3 linked regions of the Cricetulus griseus genome follow. The protein of the gene in region 2 purifies or fractionates together with the protein of the main gene of each other region. This does not show direct contact. Links are inferred from orthologs where the notes say so. Each region holds a gene or a part of one and is shown on either strand. Other genes may lie near its edges.

What was found.
Region 1: the proteins of Hscb (region 2) and Suclg2 purify together in Homo sapiens (affinity purification with mass spectrometry; 3 studies listed by BioGRID and IntAct, with this or other methods). This does not show direct contact. The link is inferred for Cricetulus griseus from reciprocal best matches to the Homo sapiens genes HSCB and SUCLG2.
Region 3: the proteins of Hscb (region 2) and Sdhb purify together in Homo sapiens (co-immunoprecipitation; 3 studies listed by BioGRID and IntAct, with this or other methods). This does not show direct contact. The link is inferred for Cricetulus griseus from reciprocal best matches to the Homo sapiens genes HSCB and SDHB.

Annotation. Positions count from the first base shown.
Region 1 is NC_048601.1:48,112,750-48,118,957, forward strand, and holds the start of Suclg2 (succinate--CoA ligase [GDP-forming] subunit beta, mitochondrial), read left to right. Parts: upstream 1-2,042; 5' UTR 2,043-2,082; coding exon 2,083-2,172; intron 2,173-6,208. UniProt on the Homo sapiens protein: GTP-specific succinyl-CoA synthetase functions in the citric acid cycle (TCA), coupling the hydrolysis of succinyl-CoA to the synthesis of GTP and thus represents the only step of substrate-level phosphorylation in the TCA.
Region 2 is NC_048597.1:90,618,996-90,625,041, forward strand, and holds the start of Hscb (iron-sulfur cluster co-chaperone protein HscB), read right to left. Parts: upstream 3,531-6,046; 5' UTR 3,480-3,530; coding exon 3,247-3,479; intron 504-3,246; coding exon 407-503; intron 76-406; coding exon 1-75. Other genes in the region: Chek2 (serine/threonine-protein kinase Chk2), read left to right, coding at 4,946-5,252.
Region 3 is NC_048595.1:12,290,239-12,296,377, forward strand, and holds the start of Sdhb (succinate dehydrogenase [ubiquinone] iron-sulfur subunit, mitochondrial), read right to left. Parts: upstream 4,167-6,139; 5' UTR 4,094-4,166; coding exon 4,010-4,093; intron 1-4,009. UniProt on the Homo sapiens protein: Iron-sulfur protein (IP) subunit of the succinate dehydrogenase complex (mitochondrial respiratory chain complex II), responsible for transferring electrons from succinate to ubiquinone (coenzyme Q).

The sequences.
Region 1 (6,208 bases), on a different chromosome or scaffold from region 2:
CTGATGGCTAAGGATGTTCAGGAATTTCTTAAGTGTCTTTCAGTCATTTTAGATTCCTCTATTGTGAATTCTCTATTTAATTCTAAACTCCACTTTTTAATTGGATTATTTGGTGTTTTGGTGACTAGCTTTTTGAGTTCTTTGTATATTTTGGAAATCAGCCCTCTGTCAGATGTGGGTTTGGTGAAGATCTTTTCCCATTCTGTGGGCTGCTGTATTGTCTTGTTGACTGTGTCCTTTGCCAGAGCGTGCCAGGGGCAGAAAGGAAGCTAGGCCAGAGAGAGAGGCTCCTGTGTGCTTGCAGCCCCTTAAAAACCTATCCTGAGTCATCCTTACCTCACCTTGACCATGCCCTGATAGGCATAGTCAGGCACACCTGTAGCCAGCCCTTAGGAGGTGTGGTTACGGTGTCTCCCTACATATGGGTGTCTGTTTCTGCTTCGAACAGCAACTGGATGAAGACTCTCCTTGCTCTCCCTGTCCCTGGGCTCCAATTTGGTCAGGGGTTCTTGTCCCCATGTCCTTCTTAGAGGGACTATGCAATCTTCTGTTGTGGTCCTCCTTGTTTCCTAGCTCCTCTGGCAGTGTGGAATGTAGGCTAGTGATCCTTTGCTCTATTTCTAAAATCAAAAATGAGTGAGTACATACCATGTTTATCATTTTGTGATTGGGTTACCTCACTGAGGATGGTTTCTTTAGTTCCATCCATTTGCCTGCGATTTTCAAGATTCCATTGCTTTTTCCACTGAGTAGTACTCCATTGTGTAAATACACCACATTTTCTCTATCCATTCTTCAGTTGAGGGGTATCTAGGTTGTTTCCAGGTTCTGGCTATTACAAATAATGCTGCTATGAACATAGTTGAACATATGCCCTTATTGTATGAGTGTGTATTCTTTGTGTATATGCCTAAGAGAGGGATTGCTGGATCTTGAGGTAGACTGATTCCCATTTTCCTGAGAAACCGCCATACTGATTTCCAAAGTGGTTGTACAACTTTGCACTCCCACCAGTAATGGAGTAGAGTTCCTCTTTCTCCACATCCTCTCCAGCATAGATTGTCATTGGTTTTAATTGATTTTAGCCATTCTGAAAGGAGTAAGATGGTATCTCAGAATGGTTTTAAGTTGCACTTCCCTGATGGCTAAGGATGTTGAACACTTTCTCAAGTGTCTTTCAGCCATATTGGATTCCTCTGTTGAGAATTCTCTATTTAGTTCTGCACTCCATCTTTTAATTGCATTGTTTAGAGTTTTGGTGCCTAGCTTCTTGAGTTCATTGTATATTTTGGTGATCAGCCCTCTGTCAGATGTGGGATTGGTGAAGATATTTTATTAACACGTGCCTCTAAGACATGCCTAAAATCCTCCTTCACTTTCACGAGAGAGACAGGGTGGTGCCTTTCTACTGTCTCCATAGTTGAGAAGTAGAGGAAGGGTCAGGAGCTTTACATGAATTTTTGGCTAATGGAAGGTATTTGAAACCTGATCTCAAAAGCCAAAAGGAAAACAACAAACCACTACCACGTAAAACAAACCACCCACTTCGCCTGCCCCACGTGGCCTGTGGGCAGCATTGGTTCTAATTCCTTCCTTGGGAACAATCCTTTGTCCAAGAGGTGTCCTTTATAATGGCATCAGTTGCTAGGCTCAGACCTAGCAGCCCTCACTGCAGTCAACAATCCTCTAATCTGTGGTTCCTGGGGCCAGTTTAAGCCAGTGTCGTCCCTGGGGCTGAGATCCGTTTTTGTTTGGAAGCCAAGCAAGAAATTGTGAGGTCTGGGAAGCCACAAGGCGTCGAGTGTGGTGGTGCTGGTGGTGGGCGAAGGGGTGGTGGTGGGAGCGAGTGGGTGAGTCCCCTACCCTCCTGCCACTCCCATCCCTTCCCTTTCCCAATTCACCCTGCTCCCTTCAGCCTCCCCGTGCTCCTCCCATCCCGCCCCCTCTTCCGCCCCCTCCCTCCCCTACCGCCCCGCCCCTCCTCGGCTCGCCCCGCCCGTGGCCTCGGTCAGGGGCCGGCTCCCTCCCCGCCCCGCCCGCCCCCTCCCCCCCTTGCGGCCTCTCCACAGGTTCCTGGTTAAGATGGCGTCCCCCGTGGCCATCGCGGCGCAGGCCGGGAAGCTTCTGCGAGAGCAAGCGCTGCGGCCGCGGCTCCTGGCGGTCAGGTCCCAGGTGAGCGCGGCTGCGACGACGCAAGCCACCCGCTGTGGCGCCCCTGCTCGGCGGCGGCTTCTTGGTCCCCAGAGACCCCTCGCGCGACCCCCGTGCTGCCCCGCGGCGTGGCTGGCAGAGCGGCGTCCCTGGTGTAGCAGCGGGACCCGGGCCACCTCCCACGGGAGGTCGCGGGGGTGGCGGGGTCGCAGTCACACACACACCACGGTCTGGGTCGTTTCACACCCCCCCCACCCCCCCAGCTGGCACTGGAGCCCGGCGCTGGCCCCGGTGGAGGTGGCGAAAGTTGCTCGCACTGTTGGAATCCAGAGCTTTCCCAGTCTTTCCTGGAGCGGCTTTGGGGGCGTCCGTCTGCCGGAGCTCGCCAGGCCGGCCACGTGCTCCACATGCCAGAAAACCGGCGGCTCTCAAGGCTGCTCACCTGCCAGGGTGAACTCTGCAGGTTGTTGCTCGTGCAGCCTCTGCGTGCTTCTCTTCGGGGGCAATGCAGGGGTCCAGGAGCAAAGTGGGAGCCCGCTCCTCTTCCTTCTCCTATGAATGGCCTGTGTCAAAATTCCTCCGTCCCTACCCACTTTGTCCATGCCTCATGGAGACTGAGTTGCTAGTGTTGGACTCGGAACAGCGCCACGGTGCTCACATGTTTAGGTGCTTCTGATGGCAACCTTCAACGTAGCCAGAGGCCTCTTGGGGGAATAGTTGACTTTGACACTTTCTACTTTCTCTAGATTACCCCCTCCCTCAGAAAGAAAAAAAGAGAACTTCTCAGCTCAGTGAGAGGCAAATTATCACATTTTAACTAAGGCACGCATAGGGCACTGAGAAAACTGCAAGAAAAAGTTACTAGTGATTTTTTTTTTTTTTTGAGTTACTCTAAGTAATTTTGACACCCGTGAAGGTTTTTTTTTTTCCTTTCTTTTCATTACCTGATGTTCCATTTCTCTGTTATTGTTAATGGGAATTGAAGAGGTGCTAATACTTATTATTGTAATATCCTTAATAGGCACTTGACAGTATGGTGGGTAAGGGACAGGGATGGCGGTTTGTCTAATTAAAATCACTGATACCTGCTATAATAGAGTAAGGAGAGATCTCCAGATGATCTAAGTCCTATTCATTATTTAAGTGTTATAAAAAAAACGAGAACTGTGGTGCTGTTATGGTAGATTTGAATTTATGAGAAACATGGAGCCCAGGGCAGTGAAAAATGAAGACTAGGAAGGCGGTGGTTGTTCATAGAAGCCTAAAACAGAACATTTAGGTGAAGTATGTTGTCATCTTCCCTACCCAAGTAACAAAAACCTTAGAATACTTAGGAGAGACTGGCTGGCAAGCAGACTGGGATGAGAAGACCTGTTACCTACATTGGACAATGTGCTTTTGGTTTATGTACCCATTATTTATAATTCTGGGAACACCAGGCTTAGAAGATGACAGTGGGGCTGGGAGATGGCTCAGGTAGTAAGGACACTGGCTTCCTTGAGTTCATGGTCTCCCCGGTGCCATGTACAAAGCTAAGTGTGGCATTGTGAACTTGTGAACCCAGTACTGGGAGGAAGACACATGTGGGTCCCCAGAGCTTGTTGGCCAGCTAACCTAGCTGAAATGGTGAGGTCCCATTTCAGCGAGTGACCCTGTGGAAGGTGGAGAGTGCTAGAGGAAGACAGGTGATTTCAGGACAGCCTGAGGAGTGCTCCTGTGTACAAAAGTCCAGGGCTGAGCAGTTGAGTGACCTGTTCAAGGTTACAGAGAGTTTGAGGCAGAGCTGAAGGCTGAGTAAAGGTTTACTTCACGTTCCTGGTATACCAGGGGAGAGCCTGGTGAGTGCCCATTTCCCAAGTAAATTAAATTGCAGACCTGTAGAAGCTGCAAGTCACTAGTGCTGGGGACACATTTCTTAAAGGAACATTTTGGAGTTGGTAATGGAAGGAGGTGCACACAGCCCCTGACTTTAAGGATCTATTTTCTTAGTACCTGCTCCATGCCATTCTGATTTGATACAAACTATCTACTTCCTAGATCTTACCTGATGCTACCGTTAAGGATGGTTCATTATTCCCCCCACCAAACTTAGGAATCTTTTCCAAGTATCTCAGAAATCTGTTGGCAACCTCTGCCCAGACCTACTTTATACCAGACTTTGTGGAAAAAAACAAAACAAAACTTGTGGATGGGCCAAGACAAAAGACTGACTTTCTGCTTTTAGAAGCAACTCTTAAGGGGTTTCACAAAAATACCCATAGAATAACACCCCTCCCTGGGGTTAACTTTAGACACATTTTTGATGCTTAATGTCATTGAACTTTCTCCCTCTGTGTCTGTCTGTCTGTCTCTCTTAAACTTCTGCCCTCTACTTCATCGTTTTGACTTTGGGTTAATGTTATATCCTTTATAGGGCTGTATTTGGCCATCTCTACACCATCGGGAGGTCTGCTTCAGGCCCTGGGACCTGGGGCTATAAGTAAAGCAGGCAGATCCCTTGAGCACATGGGCAGGATGGGCAAAAATAGATTCTACAGCAAGAAAGATGTTTTCCAGAACTGACGGAGCCATAATGAAATCAAACAGGGCCACATGATGGGGAATAAATAGCTTCACAGGCAGGTACACCAAAGGCCAGAAAATCTGTTCCATAACATGTTTTTATTTAGGTTTAATTGTTTTCTTTTTTTTGAGACTGGGTCTCATGTGTAGCTGTGGCTGGCCTATGTTGCCTAGGCTTTCCTAGAACTCACAGGGATCCACTTTCATCTGACTTCCAAGGACTGGGAGTAAAGGTCTGAGCTGCCATGACTGGTCTATGCTTAACTTTTTAATTGAAGACACAAACGTAGAGCATACTCTTCTTATTGCTGTAGCAGAATACCCAAAATGGCAGCTTAAGGAAGGCAGGCATTGTTCTGGCTCACAGTTGAACGAGATGATCACAGATGATCCTGGTGGGAAAGGGAAGGCGACAGGCACTTGTGGCAACTGGTCACATGTATCCACAGTCAGGAAGCAGAGGCAGATGAACGCTCTGCTCCTTTCTGTGCAGTTTGGGAGCACAACCCATGGGAGGCTGCCACCTGCATTCAGAGAGGCTCTTTCCTCCTCACTTAATCTAGTGGTAACCTCACAGGTGTGCCCAGAGGTTGGTCTCCTAGGTGATTCCAGACCTGTCAAGGTGACAGTATTGACTGTCAGTGAACTGTTTGGTGAGTTTGTAATCTGTGACAAGCAGCTGGGTCACTACATACAGAACAAGAAAGTAAATTAACAGCAGCTCAAATCCTTTAGTACCTGTATCTAACAAAGGGAGCAGTCTCCTCTTTTACAATACTGATTCATTTTTGTTATGTAAATGACATTACACAGTATGCATACACTATGTACTGCCCTATTATGAGATCCTGAGTTTTTGACACTTGACCTGTGTGATGAAAGGGACTAGCCAGATGAGATGTGATGGGATGGGGGTGTATTAGTCAATACAGACAGCAAGTGCAAACCCTGGTAGATAGATAACTCCCAGCTAGCCCTCCAAATGCATAGATGCCATGAAACATGTTGGGTGGCATAATATAGCAAGGATTGTCCATGATGAATACCCAGGAGCCCATTTGTCTCTTTGTCAAGTCTTAGGGGAAGTGTTTTTTGGTGCTGCTGAATTTTAAATAATTTCCTTCCTTCCTTCCTTCCTCCCTCCCTCCCTCCCTCCCTCCCTCCCTCCCCTCTCCTCCCTCCCTCCCTCCCTCCCTCCCTTCCTTCCTTCTGGGTTTCATGTAGCTCAGGCTGGCCTTAAACTCTTGTAAGCATTTCGACGGCTTAGATGGGATGATAGGGATGGATTCTGGTACTGGGGAGCCAAAGAATACTGAGTGTTACAGCTTGGATGGAAAGGTATTCTGGCACTCCGGAGCCAGGGAATACTACAGGTCACAGTAAGCATAGCAGTTTACAGCTCTGCTTCAGGCAAAGGCTTCCCCAGTGTATTATCTCTGCTCCAGCAGGAGCATGTTTTCCCAGCAAAGTTGTCAGTCTGTCGTGTCCCACCCCC
Region 2 (6,046 bases):
GCTCAGGGGAGCCTGAAGAGTCTTATAGGCATCATTCACCAGGGTCGAATGCTTCTCTGAGAAGTGTTTTTCAGTCTGTTCATAGAGATAAAAACAGTTTATTACCACAAGAGCCAGTCCTCTTTGATTCCCAAACTTTTATAGTACAGTGATGGGCAGGGATTTAGAGTCATGGGCAAAATTACAACTGCTGTTGGATAAGTAGTTTGTAGTTTTCAACGGATGCGTTTTCAGTTTTATCTGGGAAGTCAGATAAAAACTGTGAGGAAATGACATCTCTGGGGCCTGGCTGTCTAGGGGCAGGCTGCCACAGGGTGGAGCTAGTAGCCCGACTCTTTCCCAGATCAACACTGCCATCTACCCAGTTCCACACATATATGGGGAATATTAGAGGGTCAGTGAATACCTGAGACTTTTGGCTGAAGAAATCTGGGTGGACGAGACGCTGCAGTTGCTGGTACCTGTGCTGAAGCTTCATGACATCAACCCTGAAGGATCGGTGGCTGGAAGGAAAGTGGATGTTACTCATGCAAAGTATTGAGCATTAATCACTACGGTCTGATTCTGCTCTTGGGGAAGATGTAATGAACATAATGACATCTGAGAGACTTCAATTGTGCTACTCCGGAATGACCAAAGATCAGAAAGGGACAGGAGTGGACAAACATGTAAGTGCAGAGACCCTGAAGTGACTGGAAGATTAACAGCTTGACAAATTCAGGGATAAGGTTAGCGTGGTCCATTGTAAGCACTGTGACTGATGAAAATGTGTATAAGAGTTTAGAGCACTTGCTTAACCTGTTTGTCCCTTGATTCCTACTTTTTCTTCTTTTTTTTTTTCTGTGCTGAAGACTGGATCCAGGGTCTCCTGCATGCTGGGCAAGAACTTTAGCACCAAGCCACTCACTTCCTTCCCCGACCAAGCCCCTTTTTACTTTTTATTCTGAGACAGGTTCGTAACTAAGGAGCCCAAGTTGACTTTGTAGTCACTCTATAGTCCAGGCAGGCTTTGACTTGCAATAAGCCTATTTTAGTGTCCCTGATCATTGGGGATTACAGGTCACCAGGCCCAGAGCCTTGGCCATTAAAAGAAAAAAGTGTGTGTGTATGAGATAAGATCTTGTATACCCCAGGCTGGCCTCAAACTTGGCATATGCCAAGAATGACCTACAACTCTGGATCTTCCCACCTCTTCCCTCAAGTGCTAGGATTATAGACATATGACAATAAACTCAGTATATCAGCTTAATTAAAAAAAAAAAAGGCTGAATTGAGTGTTGCTAAATTGCTCAGGGCTGAAATATTTTTTTTAAATTTATGTTTTCTTTCTTTCTTTCTTTCTTTTTTTTTTTGTTTTTTCAAGACAGGGTTTCTCTGTGTAGCTTTGGAGCCTATCCTGGCACTCACTCTGGAGACCAGGCTGGCCTCAAACTCACAAAGATCCGCCTGCCTCTGCCTCCTGAGTGCTGGGATTAAAGGCATGCACCACCAACGCCTGGCTATTTATGTTTTTTCAAGACAGGGTTTCTCTGTGTAACAGTCCTGGCTGTCCTGGAACTCACTTTGTAGACCAGGCTGGTCTTGAACTCAGAGATCTGCCTACCTCTGACTCCTGAGTGCTGGGATTAAAGGCCTGTGGCACTACCACCCTGGCTGAAATTTCTGATCCTTCTTCAGCTTCCTGAGTAGCTGGAATTACAGAGACTACCATACTGAGCCATTAATGTTAATATTCAGCCTTTTTAAAAGTATGGTACTGGGATTCGAACCCAGGTCCCTTGCTAATGCAAAGGAAGTGTTGTATCACTGAGCCAAAGTGAGGATTTAGCATTTACTTTACTTCTTTCTTTTTTTGGGGGGAGTGGTGTTGTTAGGGGGGAGTTAGACTGTGACTGTGTAGCCCAGACTGTAAGATCCTCTTGCTTTTGGCTGGGATCACAGGTGTGTGCAACTACACCTGGACCTTCCACATTTACTTTAATATAGTCTATTAGTTTAACTCTGCTCACACTTCCGTACCAATCTCCAGAAGAAAAGGCAAGGGGAAACAAACCATGTGAAACATTTCTTGGCCTCTCTCAAATCTTGAGCCTGAATTAAAATTTCTTGAGACAGGGATCCCACTGCTTAGCCTATATTGGGCTCCAACTTGTCACCCTTCTTCTTCATCCCTGAAGACTGAGATCCCAGACATATGCCACCACACTTGGTTTGTTTTATTCTTTTTCAAGACGGCTTCTTTGTGTAGCCTTGGCTGTCTTGGGACTCCATTTACAGACCAGGTTGACCTGGAACTCACCGAGATGCAGCTGCCTCTGCTTCGAGTGCTGGGGTTGGAGGTGTGTGCTGGCTTGTGCCAGGCGGTTTGTTTTATTCTTAATTGCTTTTGATTTTTGAGACCTAACCTCATGTAGCCCAGACTCTCATCAAACTCATTGTATAGCTCGGGTTGCCCTCAAATCTGTAATCCTGCCTCACCCTCTGAGCTCACAGGCATACATCAACACAGACGACTTGTTTTATTTTTATTGTCTCCTTTAAAATATTTACTTATTTGAGATGAGAATGTTCCCTATTTTTGTGGTTGGGCACCTACTGGGGATCCTCCTACTTTAGTCCAGATGCTTTTAATCCTAGCACTGGGGAGGTAGAGTCAGAACTACAAGTTGAAAAACAAACTCTGCTCCTTTTTCCTCCCTGGAGTTCAGCCTCTGGAATCCCCTTTTCCAGGAGCCCGCCCCTCAAACCTCCCTATACTGTAAACTTGAGCCTGTTCCCTTTTGTTGTTGCTGATGTTTAAAAACAAAGCCTTTGTAGCAGAGGCTAGTCCTGAATTCCTTAACCTCCCACTTCCACTTCCCAAGTGCTTACATTGCAGGCATCTGCAAGTTTACGCTTTCATCCCCGCCTCCACCCTTACCTTCTTTCCAGTCTGTAACTTGATTTCCTCTTCCTCTCAGGCAAACTCCTAAAATCTCAGCAGGTCCTATATTATACAAATGACCTATATACTTTTTTTTTTTTTTTTTTTGCTTTGTTCGTTTTGAATGAGTCTCGGTAAGTTGCTTAAACTGGCCTTGAACCGTGGTCCTCCTGCCTCAGTCTTCCAGCTGGCTGGAAATTACAGGCCCGCCGGCGAGGACCCAAGTCGTAAGCACCAGGGTAACGCCTGCCTAATTTAACTAACTCGGCCATCCGAGCTCCCCAAGACCGACTCGCCCTCCCATAACTCTGCGCCGCGCGTACCAATTCATGAGGCTGAAGTAGTCCCGAGTCGGGTCAGGTGGCTGCAAGGCGCGGCAGTGTTCGCAGAAGAACCCATCCCCACTCTCCACACCCCCAGCGCTGCCGCAGTTCCAGCACTGGCCCGCATTGCTCTTGCCCGAGGCAGCGTTGCTGCTCAGCAGTCTCCTTCCCAGGAACCCAGCTAGTCGCACCTCCCACACGCAAACCAAAGCACGGGCCCGGCAGCCCCACATCCGGACAGCCGCCCGTCTGGCCTGGGTCGAGGGACTCGAGGGAAAGGAAGCAAGAGTGACTCGTTGCTGATTGGTTTAGTGAGCCGAGGAGGCGGGATCAGCCTCGGTAAAACAGGATGCCGAGTCCCGTTCTGCATCCTAAACTACAACTCCCAGCAAGCCTTGAGGCTAACGCATGGCAGCCACATTCGGGTCTTCTTATTGGTCGTGCCGAGCAGAAAGGCGTTTTGATTGGCTGAGGGTGGAGTTTGCATGGGTAGGTTTAGCGCCACACCACTGGTTGCGGCGGTCTGGGGTGTTTGTGGCTCCAGGTGTTCTTTCGCGGTGAGTTTTAGCGGGAAATTTTTCTTGCCTGTCTGAGGATTCGAATCGGGTCTCAGGGTCTTCTGCAAAGGGGCCCTTCGCAGCTTCCGCCTGGTCTGTGTGTGCAAGAGAGCTCTGCACGCAGGCGACTCTTCCTTGTTTTTTAGCTGCTCTTCGAGGGGGACATTCTCTTGTTATTTACAAGCTGAGACATGGGAAGGCACAGAGTTGGGCTCTTCAATGCCAGAGAGCGAAGTAGTTTCATAGCGAGTATTATAAATGTTAGTGATCATGCCAGGTCCCCGATTCATTCTTCCCAAATATTTACTGAGAACCACAAACATCGCTGCTAGGCTCTGCAGGAACTGGAGTGAGTACGTAAGGAAGTGTGTGGGGTAGGGTGGCAAGGAGTGGATAGGAAGCAACCAGCCATTCTCAGCTTCTCTACACGCTAGCGCTGTGTAATTGGCCGATAAATTCTGTTCGTGATCCTGAAATTTTGCTGTGGTCACTTTTTTTAAAAAAACTCATCAATGATTCTGCCCTTCTGAGGTGATCATAATATGCCTGTTCCTTTTATAAAAAATTTATTTTTAAAAATCATGTGTCTGTGTAAGTCTGTACAGTGCGCAGGGAGGCCAGCAGAGGGCAGTGCATTCCCAAAGAGCTGGAACTACTGGCATTTGTATGCTCCTGGATGTGGGTGCTGGGAACTGAACTCAAAAAAGCAACGTGCTCTTCTTAACCGCCGCGATGTCTCTCCAGTCCCTAAGTATACCCGTTCTCCGCTTCGTATGTTTGGTGGTACTCGGCATGGAATCCAGGACTTTGCGTCTACTATTGAGTTATATTCACATTCTTCACTTAGCTTTGGGTAAAGATTTATTTTTAATTATATGTTACGTGTGCAGGAGTATGCTCACGTGAGCGCAAGTGATTTCAGGGGCCACGAGAGGACTTCAAACCCACTGGAGTTGGAGTCACAGGCAATCTTGAGCTTCCAGACTTGGGTGCTGGGAACTTACTGAACTTTTGGGTTCTACAAGAATAGTTCTGTTCTTTGCTGCTGCATCATCTCTCCAGCTTCCATTCCTCGTTCTTGAATTTTAGGCCTCGCTCCTTGAATCTCCCCTCATTGTTGGACTCTGTTTTTGAGGTCGGATATGAAGAATCAGCAGTCCCACAGCAGTGGTTCCTGTTCACAGTCCCAGGGTGGCTTCACTCAGTCACAAGGCACTTCCTCTCAGTTACACGACCTCTCCTCACAGTCTCAAGGCACATCCAGTTCCTCTAGCGGCACAGTGTCATCCTCCAGCCAGTCCTCTCATTCCAGCTCTGGGACACTGAGCTCTTTAGAGACAGTGTCCACCCAGGAGCTCTGCTCTATTCCTGAGGACCCAGAACCTGAGGAGCCTGGTCCTGCCCCTTGGGCTAGGTTATGGTCTCTTCAGGAAGGATTCTCCAATCTGGGTAAGGCATTTTGTTATATAGTATAATGTATTGTTCAGGGAAACAGGGGTGGTGGTTAGATTGTTGCAACAGAAATCTCAGGGCCCCTATAACTGGTTAGAGGTGAGAAAAAAGTTAAAAAAAAAAAAAAAAGTGGAGGCTGTGGTGGAGTGCCTGGGCTGCCATTACCTGCCATGTACTCACTGTTATTTCTCCTCCTGGTTGATCCTCGTGCAAAGAATCAGACTTAGGCCTTATGCATGGTAGAGTGAGCTACATCTGTTGTTCCATCCCTAGCTACCTTATTTTTATTATCAAATAGAATTTTTTGAAATTTCATAGGCTGGCCTCAAAATTTATCTTTTTCTTTCATTTTTTTTCAGAGAAAAGGTCTCATAGCCTGGGCTGGCCTTGATCTCACTATGTAGCTGAGCTTGACTTTGAACTCTTGATCTTCCTGCTTCTATTTCCCAAGTGCTGGCTTTATACGAATATATTATCAGGCTCTACGAGACAGGGTTTCTCTGTATAGTCTTGGCTGTCCTGGAACTCGCTCTGTAGACCAGGCTGGGCTCCGAGTGCTGGGATTAACGGCATGTGCCACCACCGACTGGCTACTCATTATTTTTGAGACAAGAAATTCTGCAGCCTAGGTAGGTTTGCAATTCACTATGTAGTTCCTCATGGCCTTGAACTTGCATCGAACTTCTTGTCTCAGCCTACTGAGTAGCTGAGATTACACATACCAGGCATACCTGGTTCAAATTTATAATTTGTATGTGGATATCCGGTTGATCCAGAGCTATTTCTGAAAG
Region 3 (6,139 bases), on a different chromosome or scaffold from region 2:
CCTGCCTCTGCCTCCCCAGTGCTGGGATTAAAGGCAGGTACTACCACCACCAGGCAAGACACTTGTCTATTCATTCATTTGAGACAGACTCCCTGTGTGTCTAGGCTGGCCTTGAATTCAAAATCCTCTTGCATCTCCAGTGCTGGGATTCCAAGTGTGTGCTACACCTCCAACTGGCCTGTGGTATTTCAGAGGAAGTGAAGTGGGGAGGTAACTGAAAAGGTGTGCTCCAAACATCTTTGCTTGCTTAATCATCTCGTTTTTTATTTTGTTTTTGTTAAGTAGGGCATAATAATTTTATGAGTTTTTTTTTTTTAAGATTTGTTTATTTACTATGTATACAGTGTTCTGCCTGCATTTATGAAGGCACACCAGAAGAGGGCACCAGATTTCATTACAGATGGTTGTGAGCCACCATGTGGTTGCTGGGAATTGAACTCAGGACCTCTGGAAGAGCAGTCACTGCTCTTAACCTCTGAGTCATCTCTCCAACCCCATTTTATGAGTTTTAAAAAGTAGTATCATAATCAGAGTATTTTTGCCCATAAAAAATGGTCTCTTTACATCCTGCATCCAGTTTTTCACTCGACATAAAGATTTTTGGAGTTGCCAGGGTGTGGTGGTGCACACCTTTGATACCATCACTTGAGAGGCAGGAGCAGGTGGATCTCTGAGTTTGAGGCTAGCCTGGTCTAAAAAGTGAGTTCCAGGATATCCAAGACTACCCAGAGAAACCCTGTCTTGAAAAACCCTAGGAGTCACACAAGTTACTGTGTATGTGCACAGTTATCTGCCTTTAAAAAAATAACCTGAGACAGTTGGATATAGTGGTGCACATCTTTAATCCCAGAGCTCCAGAAGCAGAGGTAGGTGGATCTCTGTGAGTTAGAGGCCAGCCTGGTCTACATAGTGAGTTCCAGAATAGCCAGAGCTACAATATAAGACCCTGCCCTGAAACACACACACACACACACACACACACACACACACACACACACCACCCACCCACCCACCCACCTGTGGAGTAGAGAGATGGCTCATCAGTTAAACGGCTCACAACCTGTAACTTCATCTCTGGGGATCCTATGCCCTCTTCTGGACCCCACAGGCAACTGTATTCATATGTAAATATACACAACTAAAAATACAAATAAAAACAGGTCAGTGGATGGCTCAGTAGAAAAAGGCAATTGCCACCAAGCCTGACAATTTGAGTTATATGCCTAGAATCCACATACAGGTGGAGAGAACAGACTCCAATAGGCTGTCCTCTGATCTCAGTATGCACAACTAGGCGCGCATACCCCTATATACAAAATAGCTTCCTTAGGGGCAGGCCTGAAACTAGACAAATTACACAGCCACAGGAGGGAAGGTGGGAGAAGGTAGGAAGGCCAGGAGGCCTGCATGAAGTCACACCAGCACAAACTGAAGGTGCAGGCTTGTATCTGAAATGTATCAGTGGGGTCGTTTCAGATCCAAGCCCTGTCACCTTTGAGCTATGTGTTCTTCAGAGAACTGCTAAGCCAATCTGATGCCACTTTCTCCTTTGCAAAGAGGAGGGTGGGATTGATACCTATTCCACAAGAAACAGGCCAAACTCCTGGCATAGTTCTAGAAATGATTTCTGCCTTTCAACACTGGCAGCATTTTTAGGACTTGGGTTATTCTGACTGGCAGATGGGCATTCTAAGCTTTGCCAGACCCAGGAGCAAAGAGAGGCACAGCTGTAAAAAGCAGCTTTGCCCTCCTGGAGTCCACAGTCCAGATGAAGAAATAAGGCATGCTATTAACAGTTAACCCATCACAATTAAACTCTTGCAAGCAGAACTGCAGTCCTGGGGTGCAGACCACACACAGGAGGTTCAGAACCTGAACCAACAAGCCCACAGAAATACAGCAAGCTCATTATGGGTTCTCAGGAATACAAATCCAACACAAAAACCTTCCCACAGGGAGGATGCCTCTCTTGCTCTTACGTCCCTGGAGAAGGTGGGCAAAGGCCTCTCCTGAAATGCTAACACCAGCCTGTGAAACCAGCTTTTCTATAGTTCATTCTAGGAAGCCCAGCCTGGGCCTTAGAACTCATTCCTAGTGGTGGGGCTCTTACAACTTTACTGCTGCCTCAGCAACATGGAAAGAGGCTGATAAAGAAAACAAGGTCCCTGAGAATCATTAACTGGCAAACCTATCGGGAGGCTCCTTCCTGATGCACCCCTTCTCAGCAGCCATGGATTTCCTGTAGCTCTTCAATTAGAGGTGGGGCCTTGGGAAACTTCCCCCCAATTCATGTTAGCATGTGAACTGGTATTGGCATTATGCATCCAATCCCATGTTGTCAACACTGAACATATGTATGTATAAGCAACACTAAATGGTCAAGAGATTGTGTATGTGTGTATATATATATAGCAATGATAAAGTAATGAATTTGAGAGGGGGCAGGGGAGCATGCAGGAGAGGGATAGAAATGTGTAAATATTGTACTCACATATGAGGGCTGGGATTGCAAAATGGTGGAGTGTGTACTGTGTTTGCAGGCACAGCAGGCACTTATGATGAGGGAGATCAAGTAAAGTCAAGAAAAGGAACTAATATTTCTTTTTTTTTTTTTTTTTTTTTTTTTGCTTTTCGAGACAGGGTTTCTCTGTGGCTTTGGAGGCTATCCTGGAACTAGCTCTTGTAAGACCAGGCTGGTCACAGAGATCCGCCTGCCTCTGCCTCCCAAGTGCTGGGATTAAAGGCGTGCGCCACCAACGCCCGGCTGGAACTAATATTTCTATATGCCAACCATGTCTGTGGCAGGGCCAGGGATGGCAGCACACATCTTTAATCCCTGAGCATGGGGGGCTGAGACAGGGGTTATCTCTGAGTTCCAGGAGCGAAAGTGCAACCAGGGCTGCTTAAGAGACCCCGTCCAAAAACAAAACAAAAACAACAAGACTGGTGATATGTCTTAGCAGTTTGGAGAGGAGCAGGGGTGAGTTCCCAGCACTCACATCAAGTCTCATAACCACCTGTAACTCCAGTTCCAGGGAATAAAGCTCCCCCTTCTGATCTCCATGGATACCAGACAGGCCCACGGTGCCCCTACGTACATTCAAGCAAACACTCGTACACACAAATTAAAAAAAAAAAATCTTAAAAAATAAAAAGTGCCCTGGAAAAGTTTTAAGAAATGGGGGCCGATGGAGAGACTCGGTTTTCAAACCTTTAAGGAGAGTCCCCACCTTTAAAAGGTTCTGTCCAGGAGTACAGCGCGTCCGGGATTTGTAAGTCTCCAGTCCCTTGAGAAAGCAGAGGCCGTCTCTCTGGCCTTTCTTTCTAAATGCTCCCACTGAGGAGGCACACCCGCAGAGTGCAGCTCCCCAGGACACAGGGCGTGTGGGGAGCCCTGTGACGGCCACCACAGTAGCAGAGACAGAAGCAGCTCCGGGCTCTGCTTATGTCATCCCACGTCAACGGCCGGGGACCGGTGCCGCTACACACCCTGGGATAAACCCGCTTTCGGGAACCGGGTCTTGCCTGCAGGCTTCCACAGACCGGGGTCCGCATCTTCCGAGGGCTGGGTCGCTTCTGCCATCTCTCCTTTCCCGGGAGGGCCAGGGGCACTGCGTTCCCTCTTCACCGACCCAGATCAGCCCACCCTGGAGGTGCGACCTGGCTTCCCGGGGCCGGCCCGGCCCCACCCACCGCAGGCCGCCCTTAGTCCAAACCTCTGGGTTCGAAGCTGGCTTGCGACAACCGGGCGCCTGCCACGTGACCTTGAACATGCCCTCCCTGCCCTCCGTCTTCCCGCTGACCTTTCCCAACCTCCGCCCGGCCGCGACTCGGCGGCTGTGGCGAAGCGCGGGGGGCCGTGTGACAGGACGCTCCGGGGCAGCGCGCAGGTGGCACGTCCTCCCCCGAGGCCTGGACCCGGGCTCCCGCCGCCTCTCCGTGGCCTGCCCACCCCAGGCAGCCTCGGGGACGGGCACGGCGCCCCCTGAGCCACGGCCCCGCGCCTCACCTGCAGGCGGGCTCTGCCGAGAGCCGTTGCCGGGAAGCAGCGCCTCAAGGAGACACCAACCGCCACCGCCGCCGCCGCCGCCATCTTGGCTCCCAACGTCAGCCCCGCCCCTTACCCTCCGGCATCCCGTCGAACACCGCGGTGGAAGCCGGCCTCTCACCCCGAGGCCCGCTAGCCGCCTGAGAGCCAACGAATGGGAGGCGGCTTCCGGTTTCCCGAGCGAGCCAATGGGAAGCGCGCGTGCGCAATGGCGGCCAGCAGGGCGCATGCCCACTGGGCCTCCCTTGGTCCTAGGGTGACCTCTGCAGTCTGATGGGCGGGAGAAAGGGTGGCTGGCAAGGGGCGGAGCAAAGACGAGGAGGGGCGGAGCCTTCCCGTTTTGCTCTGGGTCGGGATTTTAATCCCTCTCCGCTTGCCAGGATGCCTGTCAATCATGTCTGACTCTTGACTGATCAGCTCTTTTGCTGAATACAGAGAACCCCTCAGCGCCTAGCTGATTGGGGCAGTTGGTGAGTGATTGAGGCGATCACAAGGATGACTGACAAAGGTGTCACTCACGCATTTATCCATAAATATGTACATAACCCGCAGGGCTGGAATCCTAGAAATTGGCACGCGGAGGCAGGAGGAGGATCTTTGGCTGCGTAATGAGGTGGAGGGCAGTCTGGGATACACGAAACCGTGCCTCAAAACACGCAAAACCAAAACGAAAGCAATCTGTGGCTGGGCCCAGGCTCTGCGATGCCGGGGTGAGTGACCCAGACACTCACATAATTCCTCTATAACAGTGGAGATGGGAAAGTGGGGGAAGTAACAGTAGGAAAGATGGGTGACGTCGCCTAGGGTGTCCACTAAGGAGAATGACCTTGAACTTCAGCTCTTGCTGCTGGAGTTACAGGTGTGTGCCACCATGCCCGGGTGTGCGTGTTAGACAATCACTCTGCCAACTGAGCTGTATCCACAGAGTGTGTTTTGTAAGTTTCCTTTAACGTCTGGACTGTTTTTTCTAGCACCTTGTTTACATTCTTTCAGTCTCTCTGACTTGGGATTTGACTACATTAGGCAGGTGTGATCTTGGTGTCCCAAGTCATTTGATCTCTTCGGACACCCAGTGACTTTGCTGGTCACCTGTTTCCAGAAGGAATGATTTCATTTCTCTCCTCTCACTTTTGGCAAAGGAAGATCACTGTTTACAGTCTTTGGTTTCCTCACTCCAACTCATTTAGATGCCACTGGAGAAATTAAGATGACAGAGGGAATGGCTAGATGGGGCCACGTTTCTGAGACCTGAACCTGAAGCTGGCTTCTCTGCCAGGTGGCCTCTCCAGAAGGTCACCTCAACTGCTCCCCTTCAGGCCATGTGACCTTGGACAAGTCCTTCTTCACCTCTGACTTATAGTGTCCTGGTCTGAATCCGCAGGGGGGTTGGGACAGCTGATTTAAGATTCTGCAATTGACATGGCTTGTCTTGTGCAACAGATGACAAGGTGGAGGTCACCTTGACTTTGCAGGGAGCTGGCTCAGCACTGGGATAGGCCCCTCCAGTCTACCCCAGCCGACCAAATTGAGTGCTCCTGCCTCTGCCTCTTGTAGGCAGACCTCCAACTTGTAGGAGGTTGTAGGAAGACCTTCGTTTTCTTTGCAATTCCTCCAGAGAGTCAATAGGTATTATTTCCAGAGACCTGACACCTTAGCCATTTCCAGCCATCATGTCAAAGACAGACACCACCCCCACAGGAGTGGCTAGCCTTTAACTTTTCCCAGGTCACCTTGGAAAAAGCAGGCTGTGGCCAGCAAAAGTGAGACCTTGATTTATGGAGGGGCTCTCGGTGCCAGTGTGCCCACAAACTCTGCAGTCATGTCATTCCTGGGCTTCATGGGGATTTGGGAAGCTCAGTGTTATGGAGAGATAATAAATTCCTGGGCGGCTCTACCTCCGCACTGAGCTTCGGGCTTCCACAAAGGCACAGATGTCATAGGACTTAAAGGTTTTCATGGTCTACTACTGACTTATGTTCCCGAGGTGTCCTTGCTATAAGACCAGGCTTTGGGGTGGGTTGGTTGCCATCCATGTAGAGAGCGATTGATATATTGCTTTTCATCAGACATTGTGATGGGTGTTCTGTATTT